4 linked regions of the Schizosaccharomyces pombe genome follow. Changing the gene in region 3 together with the main gene of any one other region gives a genetic interaction. Each region holds a gene or a part of one and is shown on either strand. Other genes may lie near its edges.

The links.
Region 1: mutations in pof7 (region 3) and ubc16 together harm fitness more than expected from each alone (negative genetic interaction), as found in Schizosaccharomyces pombe (one large-scale study listed by BioGRID).
Region 2: mutations in pof7 (region 3) and gdh1 together harm fitness more than expected from each alone (negative genetic interaction), as found in Schizosaccharomyces pombe (one large-scale study listed by BioGRID).
Region 4: mutations in pof7 (region 3) and pam17 together harm fitness more than expected from each alone (negative genetic interaction), as found in Schizosaccharomyces pombe (one large-scale study listed by BioGRID).

The regions. Positions count from the first base shown.
Region 1 is NC_003423.3:187,441-192,347, reverse strand, and holds ubc16 (ubiquitin conjugating enzyme Ubc16), read right to left. Parts: upstream 2,942-4,907; 5' UTR 2,684-2,941; coding exon 2,429-2,683; exon of another isoform or gene 2,371-2,428; coding exon 2,143-2,370; 3' UTR 2,142-2,142; coding exon of another isoform or gene 1,131-2,141; 3' UTR 1,061-1,130; coding exon of another isoform or gene 934-1,060; 3' UTR 860-933; coding exon of another isoform or gene 672-859; 3' UTR 562-671; downstream 1-561. Other genes in the region: RNA polymerase I transcription termination factor/ RNA polymerase II transcription factor Reb1, read left to right, coding at 1-150, 202-412; asparagine--tRNA (Asn) ligase Slm5, read left to right, coding at 672-859, 934-1,060, 1,131-2,141; dipeptidase Dug1, read right to left, coding at 3,369-4,767, 4,893-4,907. UniProt on the Schizosaccharomyces pombe protein: Catalyzes the covalent attachment of ubiquitin to other proteins.
Region 2 is NC_003421.2:1,418,578-1,423,211, reverse strand, and holds gdh1 (NADP-specific glutamate dehydrogenase Gdh1), read left to right. Parts: upstream 1-2,008; 5' UTR 2,009-2,399; coding exon 2,400-3,755; 3' UTR 3,756-4,081; downstream 4,082-4,634. Other genes in the region: TTT co-chaperone complex, armadillo-type fold subunit Tti1, read left to right, coding at 1-662; lmb1 (plasma membrane LMBR1-like multi-pass membrane protein, human LMBRD2 ortholog, implicated in signaling), read right to left, coding at 4,229-4,634.
Region 3 is NC_003421.2:2,370,982-2,375,088, forward strand, and holds pof7 (F-box protein Pof7), read right to left. Parts: upstream 2,357-4,107; 5' UTR 2,099-2,356; coding exon 1,013-2,098; 3' UTR 533-1,012; downstream 1-532. Other genes in the region: SPOM_SPCC70.10 (uncharacterized protein), read left to right, coding at 1-379; U3 associated protein Utp25, read right to left, coding at 3,139-4,107.
Region 4 is NC_003424.3:1,553,087-1,556,815, reverse strand, and holds pam17 (putative TIM23 translocase complex-associated motor subunit Pam17), read left to right. Parts: upstream 1-1,995; 5' UTR 1,996-2,024; coding exon 2,025-2,435; intron 2,436-2,523; coding exon 2,524-2,602; intron 2,603-2,649; coding exon 2,650-2,681; intron 2,682-2,743; coding exon 2,744-2,815; 3' UTR 2,816-3,229; downstream 3,230-3,729. Other genes in the region: U4/U5/U6 small nuclear ribonucleoprotein complex subunit Snu66, read right to left, coding at 1-1,682; protein Dbs2, read left to right, coding at 3,603-3,729. UniProt on the Schizosaccharomyces pombe protein: Component of the PAM complex, a complex required for the translocation of transit peptide-containing proteins from the inner membrane into the mitochondrial matrix in an ATP-dependent manner.

The sequences.
Region 1 (4,907 bases), on a different chromosome or scaffold from region 3:
CCGTGAAGACTTAAGTTCTGACATTAATTGGACGCTTGTTGCCCAAATGTTAGGTACTAGGACTCGTTTACAGTGTCGTTATAAATTTCAGCAATTGACGAAGGCTGCTTCAAAATTTGAACTTCAAGAAAACGTTTGGCTCTTAGAAAGGTAAGTATTGACCTACATAATTTCTCTTGCTTGCTAATATTTTAATTTAAGGATTTACGACTCGTTATTGAACAATGGTGGTAAAATTCATTGGGAAAATATCGTAAAAGAAGCTAATGGACGATGGACACGCGATCAGATGTTGTTTCAATTTATAAATTTGAAAAAAATGATACCAAGTTACGACAATCTTCCTCTTCTAGAAGCCACGAAGTCAGCCATTGATGACTTTAAAGTGGTACTTTCTGGATTCTCCAATTGACGTCCTTACAATTTTTTGAACGAAAAAATTTGTTTTAACTTACTTAAGTAACTTTGTATCTTTTTACAAGTCCTTATTAAAATGACTTAATTCTTAACGCAACACCTTCATACTGAGGATATGTAAAGTCGCCTTACTACTACCGCTCTTTGCATTTCTAGTTATTGGCGAATAGTTTTTGGAAGAATTCATAATTTCCTTAGCAATAGAGGATTTTTTGTAAATTAATAATTAAAATTGAATTGTTTGCTAATTCCGTATGAATAAATTCCAACTACCAAAAACTTTAAAGTCTTTATGGCATCACCCACATAATGGAGAGTTAATAAGCATAAACGGCTGGGTACGATCTATCCGAAAACTAAAAAATGTTTGTTTTGCCATGGTTTCTGATGGTACATGTCAACAAGCCCTTCAAGTGGTGACTTCGCCTGAACAGAGTAAGAAGTATGGTTGAGGAGGAGACATAAAATCTAAATTATATGATATCTTTTTCCTACTAACATTAATTTATTATCAAGGCTATCATATGGTGCTAGTGTGAATATTGAAGGCCAGTTGGCAGTTTCTAAAAACGCAAAACTTGGATTGCAGCAGTATGAACTGTTGGCTGAGAAAATAAAAATTTACGGCCAGATAAATGATGATGTATGTGCTTTCAAAATTGAATATACTGCAAGTCTATCGCCATAGAATTAAATTCTAATCCGGAATATAGAACTACCCTATTCAGAAAAAACATTTGACTACTGAAATGTTACGACAAATACCCCATCTTCGATTACGAACAGCAAAACAAGGGGAGATTTTTCGTCTCCGTTCAGATTCATTAAAAGCATTGCGACAATTTTTTTCAAGCAAAGATTTTACAGAGACCAACCCCCCGATAATAACTTCTTCTGATTGTGAAGGAGCTGGTGAAGTATTTACCTTGACCCCCCAGGAGACGCATAAAAATAAAAGTTTTGAAAGAGATGATCAAAAGCATTTTTTTGACCGACCTGCATTTTTAACTGTATCCACTCAATTGCATCTAGAGGCTCTAGCATTAGGACTGTCCAGAGTGTATACTATATCGCCAGCATTTAGAGCAGAACAAAGTCATACTAGTCGACATTTGGCAGAATTTTGGATGCTGGAAGCAGAAGTTGCGTTCATGACTTCGCTTTCACAACTAACATCACTTATGGAGGATATGATTAAATATACTCTTAATTCATTGATGGAGCAGAACTATCACAGAGATCATTGGGACCAACTGCTTAAACCGTGGAAATGCATGACATATTCTGAAGCAATAGAAGAATTAAGCGCTGTGAAAAAAACATGGAAATACCCTCCTAAATGGGGAAACGATTTAAGTAGTGAACATGAAAAATATCTTTGTGAAATCTTACATAAAACTCCGGTATTCGTGACGGACTATCCACAAAAAATTAAACCGTTTTATATGAAATCCTCTGGGCCCGATACAGTTGCTGCTGTTGATTTACTCGTTCCACAGGTGGGTGAACTTGCTGGAGGTTCTTTACGTAAAGACCATTTAGATGAGTATAAAACTTACCCACCAGAACTTCAATGGTATTTAGACCTAATGAAGTACAGCAATGCGCCACACGGAGGGTTTGGCTTAGGGATAGAACGACTGATTGCTTTTCTAGAAGGAGAAAACACGAACGTAAAAGAAACTATACCCTTCCCCCGTTCAGTAGGATCCATTTTTGCATGATTTATGAAAGATCTTCTATCTTACCTTTGGCGTAAAGATAGGTTGTACATCGAACTAATGAATTATAAGCCGTTTTGTCCCCGGTTCTCAACAGCTTGGCGGCATCTACATTTAATGGAGAACTAGCATCGTAATTACTTAAAAGAGAGATAATTGCTAAACAAGCAGATTGTAGACTCCAGGCCGGCGACCAATGTGTCTTTAATATGTCCATACATACTTCGCCGTTCTACCATTGACGTTAGCTAATGAATGTAATCTAAAAAACTCTATTTAAATTGGCTTACCGTCCATGAAATATTCGGATGTACAATTTTTGTTTGAAAATACACAGACGGGGGACTAATAGGATACCCTTCGTGAACATGAATATCGAGAACCCATTGCCCCCCTTCATACGGTGTTTCAGTAGGTCCTTCAATGACTGCCTTCCAATGGAACATATCAACATCAGTGACCGGTTTTAAAAGTAAGAGACCAGATATATCTCCAGCCTGGAAACTGGCATATTCTTTGTGAAGTCGTTTAATTGAACTATTCATTTGTCAAGATTCATAACACTCGTTTCTATTTTAGGTTCTAGCATGCATCAACTCTAGATAGCAAAGCTTGTCAATCTAAGAAGATTTAAATTTTCAAGGATTACCGGTTTCGCAGGTGTTGCTGGAAGCAAACAAAACCAGGTGTACTCACTAAGTTGTGTAAAAAGAAGTTAATACATAAATGCACTCAAAGCGATCCTTAATTAGCCTTATTCAACGGAAGGTAACCGAAATTTGATTAAGGCTCAGTGGCATAGTAAAGAAATGTTAGTGTTTTATTTGAAATTCGTCTTTAGTTCGTTACAACACGGTAAGCATCAATATTTGATTTAAAGAAATAAAAGTCAGATTGCATTACAGGTAATACAAGTTTTGGAGCTGATTATTAAAAATAAACGATGAAGTAAACAACATCTTATTCCTAACTTTCGTATTTTATTTGACTTTGCAGAATTTTCATTTCTAGATAATCATATAGAATTGCAGACATGAAATCACTCAGTTACATACCAAGGCTCGCAAGCGCATATTACTCGGATTCAATGACAAAGTTTATTCATTAAAAGAATGCGTAAATAATTTCGAATAACAAGATTTATAATATTTAACGTACAGAATCTACCAATACAAAGTAAACACACCAATATCATGATAGTATTAACTTAACGCTAAATCGAAAGGGATTTTAAGGAGAAACAGAAGCCAACTCATGAACATAAGTACAGAAAAGTTTTATGCCCTTAAGGAAGTTATCAAGGTCTAATTTCTCATTGATACTGTGGGCACCGTCATCACCACGGCCCATAGGCAACAACAAAACATTTTTCTTCAAAGATTGCTCAAAAGTAACAGTTACTGGAATAGAACCGCCTTCACGAACGAAATCTGGGGTTATACCGTAAACACGCTCAGTGGCTTTTTTACCGACATCATAATGCCAGTGGTCAGGAGAAGAAATCCACCAACTTCCAGAGTGCATGTTGTTAAAAGCGAGCTTGTTTTTCGAGTTCAAAGAGTTGAAAACCTTTGTTACATGTTCTTTAACAAGTCGTTCAACAGTTTCTGACTCCATATTGGGGACGGTGCGAATGGAAAATTTACCAATAACTTTCGCGGGAATAACCGTTTTAGCACCACTGCCACTAAAGGCACCTTCAATACCATGAAGTGAAAGTGTAGGATATCTCCAGCGATGTTGAAGTGTTCTCTTGGGATCGGGATAAATAGAAATATCAGCACCGACCGCCTCTTTCAAATCTTCCATTGTATAATCAATTCCATCATAAATACTATCCTCGGTAGGTGTGAGTTCTGCTACTTGGTCCATGATACCAGGAATCAAAATTTCACCATTGGGTTTAACTAAAGTACTCATGATAGCAACTAAGTCCGTCATAGGCTCATGCACAGTACCGCCAAAAACGCCAGAGTGCAGATCAGCAGATGGTCCTTCGACAGTAATATTAAAGTAACAAACACCACGGAGGCCGTAAGTTAAAACTGGCTTTTTGGTACCCAACCAATAAGTATCGCTGATGCAAACACAATCTGCTTTAGCAAAGTACTTTTCAGCTTCTGCACGAATTAAATCTTCTAAACCTTCACTGCCGTATTCCTCCATTCCTTCAAAACACATGAGTAAGTTTACTGGAAAATCAATACCAAGTTCTTTGTGAGCTTCAATGGCCGAAATCCATCCAATGAGCGGTCCTTTATCATCAGTAGCACCGCGACCAAACATGCGTCCTTTATTGTCAACTGTCAACGTGAAAGGGTCAGTACTCCATCCATCTTCTAATGAAGCCGGCTGAACATCAAAGTGATTATAAATTAAAACAGTCTTTTTAGAAGGGTCATTTCCGTATTGACCGAGAACAATAGGTGGCAGAGGAACGTCTTGTCCATCCATTTGATGATAACCAATATCACGCTTCTCCATCTTGGCTCCCAACTTTGTGAACTCACTAACCACAAAGTCAGCCATCTCTACAACTTTGGGACGAAGCGTTACATCGGCAGAGACAGAAGGTATAGAAACTGCCCGTGAAAGCCTAGTAACAAACTCATCCTTCTTCTTATCTATACTATAAAGTGTTAGGCATGTCGCTTTCTGAAATCTGCAATAAAATAAAGAAATAAGACTTGCCTCTGGCAATTCTGAACAACTGTCTACTTTTCTTTAATTTCTTCAAGAAAGATCCTTACTTACACTTCGTATAACTTA
Region 2 (4,634 bases), 950 kb from region 3:
TTCAGCTTGACACGGATAACGAACTGCTAGTAGAATGCGCATTAGAAACTATATATCAAGTTTGCGCCCTTGCAGATGATTTTATGACATCTAGGATTCGCCAAGATTTGCTTCCACGATTGGAGACGTTGTGCCAACGTTGGCATCTTTTCAATGTTGCTCGAACATATTCTAGTGAGCATCGTTTGCAAAGGGCAATGCTAAAAGTAACTTCAGCATGTGTGGCTAACAAATTGAGCATTGTAGTGTATTTGAAGCTTATGGGGATAACGGCACCCATCATACGAGCCATTACTCACATGTCTCAAAAGTATGCGGGGGATGAATCATTGGTGGAAGAAACTTGGAACGCATTTTCCAAGCAAAATCCCGACGCAGTGTATTATGAGAGAGAAGTTCGAGGGTCTCAAATGATTGACACTTTCTCTACTGAATTGTTAATTCCGGGAAAGCAACGTGTTCAACGTACATATCGCCGAACACATGAAGTTTTGGAACCTGTCGGAGCAAAGACGTCGGAGACTGTTTTCAATGATTTGCTTGGGCAACAAGGCAGCGGGAAAACCGAGACACAAGAGGAACCACTCCCTTCTTTGGACAATTTGTTACACTTGAATCAACCGAAAAAAGGAGCTAAAAAACCATTGATTTCCATCATTTAACGATAATAAAAGTGGTTACCAGTTTTAGAATTTTCCGTGTTTTAAAAGAAAATACAAAGAGCCTAAAAATCAGGCAAAGAATTCCATTACATCGCATAAAATTATATTGGCAAAGGCTCGACTTTTTTCATCTTGGCATTATTTGATTTGACTAAGGCTGTACTCGATTCAACTTGTTTCGATTTAGATGAGCCATTTTACCTACATTCAATGAGTCAGACTCAACGAATTTAGCTAAGTTGACGAAACGAGGCTGGCAGCTACCTAAATTATACTAAAAAACAAACTCATCTTGCTACCGAGCACAACGACGATCGCACCTTGTTTCGTAGTTTCGCTAATCTTTCGAATGAACTATTTTCTATCCAATTTTAGATTCAAAGCAAACAGCCACATGATCGGGCAAGGAATAAATGGACAAACGATAGTGGGATAGTGGGTTATCAGAAGACCAAAAAATAAAGAAATTTGAAATTTTTCTAACTTACATCTACGCTACGAATTTCATGACTCTGTTTCGTTTGTCTTTTTTCTATTGAAAGCTAGTCATGACTATGGCTGCTAAGGCGCAATACGTTTGGATGAGCGAATGTTTAGTCCATACTGTAAAACCGAGGCAAGGCCGTTTACTCGAATTTTCGGATATGTATTTGCGATTTGGTCTGCCTGGAAGAACCTACCCGTTTCAGTGTGATTCGACCTATTTCAGTATTTAGCGTTTTTTTCTTTTGGTACTATCCTTAGTTATCCTTGTTATCAGTAAGGGGGCAGCAACTGAAAGGAGTAAAGAATAGACCCTTTAAATGGATGTGAGAGATTGGAACGAGATTAGATTAACAAAGGACTTGGACTTTTCCAGATTTTTTTTCTTAAAAAAATTATAGAAACTGTTAATCAACAGAAAGCGAAAATCTTCTATATTACAACATTAACCTCTCTAAAACATTTTTTTTTCATCTAAAAACATCTTTCCCCCCCCCCCAAGCACCCCATCCCACTAAGGATCTTCTATAATTCCATGGATTTTCCCGGAGGAGCTGCGTTTTCCCCACATTTTCAGTAGGGTGGGTGATAGCCGTTGCACGGACCAATCATTAAGCAATGCTTATCTTATCTTTATTTGGTTGAGCAGGAGACGAAGGAATTCTGTGAGGGGGTTGGCTTATCAGATCGGAAATTTTCCGCTTAAGTAATCTTCTTTTCCACTATCCAATTATAGAGAAAAGAGATATATAGGAGCATTGTGATTGGAGATTTTGACATCATACTTACATCCTATTCGTCTGTTATCTCCGCCATCGCTCTTCCATCAGGTTTATTGCAAGTCGTCAGCCATTAGCAAACGTATGGTCTCCCAAAAAACAAGGTATCTGGTGTGACTGTTGATTATTGCTTGTTAAGTGTATAAATATAGCAGACATGGCCAGCACGTCCCTGAATCCTCCTGCTACACTGCACTGGTACATCTGGTAAGCGTTTTGAACCCGGATCGATATCTCTTACATACTCACGTTGTAAGAGTTTTGTTGGATTGTAGTTAAATTTTGAAAGTCTTTGCGTTGAAGGCGTCGAATACGGATTTGTATAGAACTTTGGATTGTACAGCCTGTATTTGTATTGTTAAAAGTTTTCGAGGTCGCCTTTTTTTGATATCTCGAATTCTCTAAACTTATCATTATTATATAGATATACACTCTATATCACTACCTTCGATTTTGTTTACTTTTTTGGCCCACCATGAGTACCCCATACGAACCTGAATTTCAACAAGCCTACAAGGAGATTGTGGGCTCCATCGAGAGCTCCAAGCTCTTTGAAGTTCATCCCGAGTTGAAGCGTGTGCTTCCAATCATTTCCATTCCCGAACGTGTCTTAGAATTCCGCGTCACATGGGAGGACGATAAAGGTAACTGCCGTGTTAACACCGGCTACCGTGTCCAATTCAACTCGGCTTTGGGCCCCTACAAGGGTGGATTGCGTTTCCATCCTTCCGTCAACTTGAGCATCCTCAAGTTCTTGGGCTTTGAACAAATTTTCAAGAATGCCTTGACGGGCCTTCCCATGGGTGGTGGCAAAGGTGGTTCTGACTTCGACCCCAAGGGCAAATCCGACAACGAGATTCGTCGCTTCTCGCAAGCTTTCATGCGTCAGCTTTTCCGCTATATCGGTCCTCAAACTGATGTACCGGCTGGTGATATTGGTGTCACAGGTTTTGTCGTTATGCACATGTTTGGTGAGTACAAGCGTCTTCGCAATGAGTACAGTGGTGTCGTCACCGGCAAGCACATGCTTACCGGCGGTAGCAACATTCGTCCTGAAGCCACTGGCTACGGTGTCGTTTACTATGTTAAGCACATGATTGAACACCGCACCAAGGGTGCCGAGACCTTGAAGGGCAAGCGTGTTGCCATCTCCGGTAGCGGCAACGTTGCTCAATATGCTGCCTTGAAGTGCATTCAAGAAGGCGCTATTGTTAAGAGTATCAGTGACTCTAAAGGTGTCCTAATTGCAAAGACCGCTGAAGGCCTTGTCCCTGAAGAGATCCATGAAATTATGGCTCTAAAGGAGAAGCGTGCCAGCATTGCCGACTCTGCTTCTCTTTGCAAGAAGCATCACTACATCGCCGGTGCTCGTCCCTGGACTAATGTTGGTGAAATTGACATTGCTTTGCCTTGTGCAACTCAAAACGAAGTTAGCGGTGAGGAAGCCGCCGCTCTTATCAAACAAGGATGTCGCTACGTTGCTGAGGGCTCCAACATGGGTTCTTCTGCTGAGGCCGTTGAAGTCTTTGAGAAGTCTCGTGCTTCTGGTGAGGGTTGCTGGCTTGCTCCTGGTAAGGCTGCCAATGCTGGTGGTGTCGCCGTTTCTGGCTTGGAAATGGCTCAAAATGCTCAATTCTCTACCTGGACTCATGCCGAGGTTGACGCTAAATTGGCTGGAATTATGCAAAACATCTTTGAACAATCCACCGATGTCGCCTCCAAGTATTGTGACTCTGGCTCTAACAACATTCCCAGTCTTGTCGATGGTGCCAACATTGCTGGTTTCTTGAAGGTTGCTACTGCCATGCAAGCCGTTGGTGACTGGTGGTAGACTTCATTCGTGAAATGTTTAGGCATTTTTGATTCACTGTATCTGTATATGTTTTTTCAAGTCACTCGCTTTTCTGTACCTCTTCTACTTTACCAATTTTTTTAAAAAGCTATGAATCTATTAGATGATTATGATGCATACGAAAAAAAATAAATCAGTCTTTGAATTATTCTCACAGATGCTTCGAATACGAAGTACCCGTAATTATGTAGACTTTTCATGTAATAAAAGGATCATTTGATTTTCTAGTTCCGCTCAAGGCGCCTCCTTTATTCAATTAATTTTAACTGGTATTTGATAGCTGTATGAAATTATTATTTATGAGAATCCTTTGAAGAATTTACTAAAAAGAATTTTTTAACGTTATGTAAATGATAGACTTGTATAAGAAAATAGTTGAGAAATAACAATTGCTGTTAAAAATGTGAAGAATAGACTAAATTATTAAAATACATAGGGCTCATAACGGTAAATTAAACATGGGCATTATTTGTACCCAAAAGAAGGGCTCTGCCTTCAGCTAAATAGGCAGCCGAGGTTTCATTAAACAGATCATCATCGTTTTCTGAATTCAGTGATGAATCATCAAAGTCATCGGAAGAGCTGGCACTGGATGATTTGCGCAGCGTAATGGAATAAATGAATTGTCGCAACCTATATTTTAAAGAAATCATAGAAAAAATAATCGGCAGTAGTATAAAGGTTGGATAACGTTTGCTAATAAGATTTCCAAGTGGTAAGAGGTCAATACTCTCACCATAGAATTGATGGAATTGGGTGGGATAAGGTTGTAGAGAAACAAAGTTATAACAAAGAGGAAGCGTTAAGCGACAAAGTTGAGATGCGAAGTATATCAAGGAGGCCGTATTTGTAGCTCGG
Region 3 (4,107 bases):
ACAGGCAAGGGCTGGACAGACCAAACCAGCAACTACACGCCCCATGGCAGAAGCTCGCGCTAGGCCTGGCGCAACAGCAGTTCCTCGCCGTTCACCTACATCTCCCCAGTCTGCATACGTTCCTGCAACTGTATATACATCTCCAATTGGCTCACCTCGTCGTGGCTCTGTTCGGTATACACATGTAATGGCACACCCGAATACAACTACTACCGTTTCTGAAAATTTGCCTGAAGAAGTCCCACCTCCATATAGTCCAGCTGCTACTGCAAGCAATACACCCCAAAATGAAGCAAGCCCTGCAGCAACCGAAGCTGTAAATCACGAACGACCAGCTTCACCACCACCAGTTTACAGACCTCCAGAGGAAATGGTTTAGCTTTGAATAGAAATGAGCGATTTTCTACAGTTTCGTTAATCCTTTCTCTTTTTCTCTTTACGAAACTAATTTACTTTAATTTTATTATCCAAAATAAATCCGTTTGTTAACTTTAAAACGGAATCTTCATGTTGAATTATTGCTCTCCGATATTTCTCCATGTTTTACTTTTGTCATTCAATGCTTCGATATGGCGATTTTTTATGTTGCCTTTAGTTTATTTATTTGTGGTAAAAAAGCAGGGATTTTTTACGAACATGATTACGAATGGTTTTATGGTTTTCTTTATGAATATTCGATCTGGACTTCAAGAAACTGATACGTTTAATATTCCATTTCGTGGGTTTTCCTCTTTTATTTTTTAAGTTTTGTGCATTCTATTTACTCTTTTCTCCTCAAGTATCACGCATGTTTCCTTGGACTTAGGATTGTTTATAACTTTGTACTTCCAAAAATTTGTTAAGCATCTGTTGTTCATTTGTAAATGTATGTTAATGATATATTTCCATGCGAAGAATAATGATGGCATTAATATTAATAAAAAATAATTTCTTTAAATCCTCTCACGATGCGACCTATAATAGATAATTAATCATTTCCGCGGTTTCTAAATTAGTATTCCAAAAAGTAAGACTAGCCACGTTTTAGTGACTCTGAGTCAGCAGTATAGCTATATACTCTGGAGAAAACATAGTCACGATTGTGAGTGAGTGGCATTTCGTTCGTGAATGAGGTATAATTATGGATGGAGTAGAAAGAAATCCACTTAAGCCTTATTCCACGAACTTGAAGTTTTTGAACGTATGTATAAGTTTGACTTGCGGGATACACAATTAGCATTTCTCCAGAAGGAGTCATTGACCAGGAGCCAGTGAGTGCTACGTTTCCATTACTAAACATAGGAGAACTCGACATAGGAGAAAAAAGACTGGTGTTTTGCACACTGAAGTTGCGAACAACATCATTTGGTTCATTACTGCTTTGATAAACGATACATGTTGAATTAGGATAAAGTCGTAAATACCGGTAGTATGTGATCAAATGTATGGGTTGGTTCCAGCTCGTGTCACTAGTTCCAGGTCGAAAGTATCGACAAACGGATATGTAGCATCCGTCAAAACGAGATCGAGGCTTTTTAAGGAACAAAGTCTTCCAGCTTTGCTGGTATTTTTCCACGAGTTCTTCCTCTATTGACTTAATAGACTGTTGCCATTCTTTTTGTTCACAACTGCAATAACAAAACGATCTATATAGAGAATCTGCTCGTAATGCCTTCGCAAAATGCTTACAAGTTAGTGCAATTGAAGAGAGATATCTTAAATCATGAAGGTCCCTAATGCAATTCTCTAGGATAACTAGCAAAACCTCGTCGGGAAGCTTCAGTATATTGGGAACGACCGACTCATTTACAGACTCATTTTCCGTTAACGTTGGAGATGGGACTGAGGAAACAGTGAGCATAGCTTCTGATGCATCTGAATTTAACATTTCCTCCTCTTCATTTCTTTTACACAGTTGCAAACGCTCCAAACGCCGATAGATAGATTCCACATCTTCATGGACTTTATGAGCTAATCGATATTTATTAAGAGATTCACCTAAATTTCCTTCTCTTTCAGATTTTATAGCATCTTTGTAATGTAAAAGTGCTTTTTTCAACAGTATATCCTTGTTCACTGTTTCAAGTTCAAGAGAAAGTTGATCCTCTACTGTACTCATCACTTATTTTATTTCTCAGACGAGCAATCGAAAGTAGATGTATAATTGAAAAAGAAAATATTTTCTTACTTATTTCTCTCAAAATAGAAAAAAAAAAAAAGAATTCAACACGAATATTAAGAGGTTAAGATAGTGCTGAACCTAACTAATGACTTTTATGTTTTTTACTTTTCATACAATTCCTAGCAAAGTATTAACAAGGATTTAAGGATTAAAAGCATCCTTTCACAAGACCTTACTTTGGTAACAATATGGTTTAGTTCATGGGTAGTTAGCCGTTGCGTTTAATATCAAGTTGTGGCGGTTTGATAACAAGAAGAAGAAGATTAAATTGAGTCAATCGTCGCTTCTTTACTGTTTAAAAAATGGACTAGATAAATATTGTAACATGTTTGAGATGCTATTTGGCTATGGGCATATTTGTAGGTGTCTTCGATTCTATCACTTCTAACAAGGCGTTAGGACTTGCGAAACCATTACATAAACTTAAAACTTGTTCAAATCAAAAGTTACTTGGCAATAAGCTAAGTGGATATTAGGATTTTAGCGATATAGAAAACATTTCGATTTGATGAATTATTGTAATAATTACCAGCTTCATGTAGCATTACTGCATTTATTTATGGTGAATATGATAGCGATTTTTATTGTTAATAAACGAGTAGATACATATCCCGCTTTGCTTTCGGATAATTCTCAGCATATCTTCGTCAAAAGCAATTGAGATTTAGATATGGTTTCGGGAACACAGTCGAAACCAAACTCATTGATAATGTACGATGCCTTCCAATCGCTATATGAATCTTGAAATAAGTATAAAAAAAATTATATATTGAAAACATTTAAAAAGCACTGTCAAGTTAAATCATTCAAGTAGCTATTTACTCATTCGCTCTCAATAAATAAAGCAAAGCGGAATGGTCCAAATAAAGTACATTTTAAGCTATTCTATTGTTTTAAAGTAGTAATTTTGTAGCTCTTTCATCCAAAAATCCAAATGACCCCTAATTCCTTTTTAAAAAAATTTTTTTCGTATTCTTTTAAAGAAATTCAAAAACTTCATGTTTACCATGACACATGTTTGATACACGCTGATATCCCACTATGCCTTCCAGGCAAATAGAATCAAACTTTGTATACATAATTCTACACTTTGCTGCATCACTGTCAAGGTTTCCTTCAGAGATGGTTCTCATCGGCATTCTAACAAGTTCAACATAAAACTGAGGATTCGTTGGGGGACCATACATCACAACAGCTTTTACACCCCTAAAGTCAAATCGACGGAAATGGTGAGCGCGCTCAGTATATAGCATTATATTGGTTCTACCTTGATAAAAAAGATTGCGGGCTCTAGTCATATCGGATACACTCGAATATTCTGATATGGCAGAATAGTTAATTCCCTCCTCATCCATGTAATTTCTCACACGAACAAAATCAAAATATGAAGGTATATAAACTAAAATACCACTCTGGGAATACTTCTTTAGTTGTACTAGTATAGAACCAGTAAAATAGGAAAAGCGGGCATCTGGAACTTTAATAATAGAATCGACAGAAATGCGAACAAAAGTTTGAGTCACTTTGTACCCCAAGCGGTTTAAAACACCGTGAAGAAGCGAGCGAAATTTAACCTTACCAGCAATATTTGACATGTAGTGAGAAAAGAAAGAATTTATATCTAGATTGTTATATTGAGAAAATAGTATAGTTTGGCGCATATATCTGGCTTGCTGATCAAGATACCAAGGACGAACACGACTGAAATCACAACCGTGAGCTTCTTTAGGCAAACCATTAAGTTCATCAAAAATGCATTCAATATGTTCCCAGTTTTGCATCACGAGAGCATGAGCTTGGTCAACCATTGCTATTTCAATCGAACTCAAATAATCGAGGTCTCGCTTTTTATCTCCCTTGTTACCAATAGCAAGACGAAGTCCCAAAGGACTAGCAACTATAATGTCAGAATTGTAAAACTGGGAAAATAGCTTGACAGTTTTTCT
Region 4 (3,729 bases), on a different chromosome or scaffold from region 3:
TGAGTCATTTTTTCAAATTTCCCGCTGAGACGATCTTGTTCTTTTTTCTTTCTACGTTGCTCCTCCAGTTCAACTCTGGCTTGCTGTTTTCTGGCAAACCATTTATTGTACTCTTCTTCTTTTTGTATTTTCTCTTTCGCTTCATCCGACACTTTAATTACGCCTTTATTCCGGAGAAGGCTTAGAACTGCACCAACATTGTCAGAGACAAGTGGCTCATCTTCTGCATTCTCCTGCTGCGTATTGGCTTCTTCGAGAGTTGCAGAAATATCAACCGAGGTGTCTTCCACTAAAGCATTACTTTCTTCAGTTGGAGAACTTCCAGTAATACTATTGGTATCGTTCAAATCTTTGGAATCTTCAAATGCTTGTTCATTTATGGAACCAAGAGCTTCTCGATTTTCAGTTTCCTTTATGCTATTAACAAAAGCACGCGTATCATCAAATATTAAACCGGAAGCCGTGTCCGAGTCCGTCATATCTGTGACTTCTTCGGCATTCTGCAATTGCTCAGCTACATCTTCTGGCTTAAGTATTTTCGCTCTTTTTTGAGCTAGCCTCCTCTGCATTGCAATTGACTGTTGCAAATCATCATCATCAGCAAACGACTGTGTTTCTAATTCGCGCATACGCTTTTGAATCTTCATTTTCTTTTGTTCTTTGAAAATAGCCGAATCTTGCTCAACTGACAGATCACTGTTACTCTGACCATTCGGTAGCACGAAATCAGATGGGTCATTTTCATTTTCATTTTCTGCATCAAGTTCTACTAGACGCTTTCTCCGATCAGACTTTGACTTTTTCTTTTTTGACTTCTTAATCTTTATTTGTCGATAATCTGATTGTTCGCTGCCAGTGATAGTTGGTTCAACGAAAGAGACAAGAGTCCCAAAAGTTTTTTTATTATCAGATTTATGTTTTTCTATAGTAGAATTAACAGTGAGACTATTTTGTGGACCAATGGTCGTAAAAGTATCTTCAGACGGTTGATCTGCTTCCGACTGTTGAAGAAAATCATTCTCATCTTCATACGGTTTGTAGGGGTTATCTTCCTTCCTTTCGTTTTTAGTCTTCCGCTGGACCATTTCAACATTTTCTAATAGATCATGATTATCTTCGTCTAATATATCAGCATCTTTCAATGTAAGGACTAGACCATCGTTCTTGTTTAAATCTTGAAAACCGTGTGCTATTTTCATTCCTTCTAATGAGCTATTCACATTGGGACCAGCATTTTGCGAATGTAGAGTGGATCTTCTGGGGGCGTCATTCTTCGCTTCAAAATTCAATCCATTGCCATTTTTATTCAATGAGGAATTACGCATTTTGAGTATCCACGCTCGAGTATCGTTAGCATCGATTTGATCATCCTCTTCTGCCAATGTTTCAGCGAGTGTTTTTCCTTGCGTTCTGCGTCTTCGTTCATTCTTTTGCCGTAATTTTTCAAATTTGCTTTTCAGTTCTTCTTCTTTCTTCCTATTTATTTCCTCCTGCTCTTGTTTCTTCCAATTTTCATAGGCCTGTTGTTCTTGATCGACATACGAAGACTTGACTGAAGCATCTGAAAGTTCTTTCTGAGGTTTTTCTTCTGAAATATCTAAGGGTTTGAGGCCTAGCGAAATTCTAATTCTATTGGTCTCCTCAATAGAAATCGATTCAGAGGCGCCTGAATTCCCAGACATTATACTAAATCCAACAGCAAGTGACAGACTTTCAAATGCTGATAAATAAATAATAATATGGATTTTTAATAAAAAAATACACTAAACTTGCAACTGACTCAAGGATATGAATAAAATAGGAGAATGGCGAAATACACGAACCGTAATATTGTTTCAAATAATTTACTTAAACTCTCATTTATATCTCACTAAGCTATTTTAGCGTACTTTCAAAAAAAGTTGCGTTTCCTAGTATGCGTCCGCGCTTGCTAAGGAATAATAAACAAAATACGTTAAAAAGAGAAGAGCAATTGAGGCGATACGTATATGAAGTATACATTTTCCAACAAGCAAGGATTCGTTATGATACCTATTATACGGCCTGGTCTAGTTGTAAAAAGATTACAAAGTCCCAAAATATTTTTAACTTTATGGAAAACTTGTTATAATGTAAAAACTTATTCCACTGAGTCTATAAAACAGAAGAAACCTCAAGATTTAAATTGGCCCACATTCCTGAAATTAAGAAAAAGCAGAAGGATTTTTGAAACCTTAACTTCTATTCCTACTGCACTTACCGGACTAGGATTAGGATCCGCCTATTTTCTTACGCGTACTGTTGACCCTACCATGACTATTATGGGTCTTGATCTATTTACTCTATATGTTATTGGAACTATTGCATCCGGAGGGCTTGGATGGCTTTTGGGCCCTAGTATAGGTAGAAAAATATGGACACTGCTTCATAAAAGTCAAGCGAGACAAATTGCAGCGGTACGTTCATTCCCTTAGATAATAGGGGTTATGTTAGCATCTACGGACTATGTTTTCTGAAAGTATTCTAATATATTTAATTTTTTAGAGAGAACAAGAATTTTACCGTCACTTGGTTAAAAACAGGGTTACACCTCAAATGGAAAGCTATTCTAATCCTATCCCAGGTATGCTGTGAAGGCTGCGTCATGATTGATGTCTAACTCTTAATTAGATTATTACGGTGAGAAAATTTACTCCCTTTCTGTATGTGATATGTGTTATCTACTCATTTACTTTGTACACTGATTACTAACTTTTATGCAAAGGACTATCGACGTTGGTTGAGGGATCAGAAGGCTTACATACAACGGGCATTTTGGCGTACAAGCAATCGTTAAATTAGAAGTGTTGAAGTGATAGCTTGTCATATAGAATTGTGGATGAGGTTCTTTTCTTAACACGATAACTAAAAGGATACAGAAGCATTGCCGTATCAGTATTTGTGAAAAGAAGTTCATCTATTGAAATCTGTATAGTCTCAACTTATAGTACAGACTTTTCTCAAGCAAGTGTTTTTGTCCATGTGTAGAGAAATTCTAGTAATGATTATCTTAATTATAATTTACCGTGCATACAATTTCTTACATAATTTGTTGTACATGTCACTCCTGCTATTGAATTTTATCTTTTGCAACAAGCTTTTGCCGTCTGTTCTATGATTGTTGTACAACTGACATGGTAAAACCATTAGAAGCAGATATTAGAAGATTATAAATATATAACATTTTTGTTTGTAATGCATGACATGCCAGTACACAATTTTAATAACAATTAAAAAATGCATTGGTTCAATTTATAAATTACAAGACTGAAACTGATCAAATAAAAAGAATATAGCTAAACCTTTGAAAACATAATTAATAGTTTACAGTATCAGTTTTAACTTGATTACTCCTCCAAAATTCAAGAACCTTTATGTGTAAACATTAATATAGTTTTGATGTAATAAATTAGCGAAGGAGATCAAATGTTGTTTCGCTGCGCGCTATTTGTAGGATTCGTAGGTTGAAAACGAGGCAACCTTGTATCTACCACCTAACGGAAGTAAACAAACTAGTGAGGGCAATTCATACATTTGAGTTAGTTAAAGCGAACTAACTTGAATTATTTATTATTTGTTAAAGGATGACTTCGGCTCTTTACTCTGGTGGTGGAAAATCTGCAGGATCATTGGAATCGGCACTTGATGAAGAACGTCTCGAAGTTTTACGATGGATGAAAGAAAGAGAAGAAAAAAAGCACCGTCAGCTAG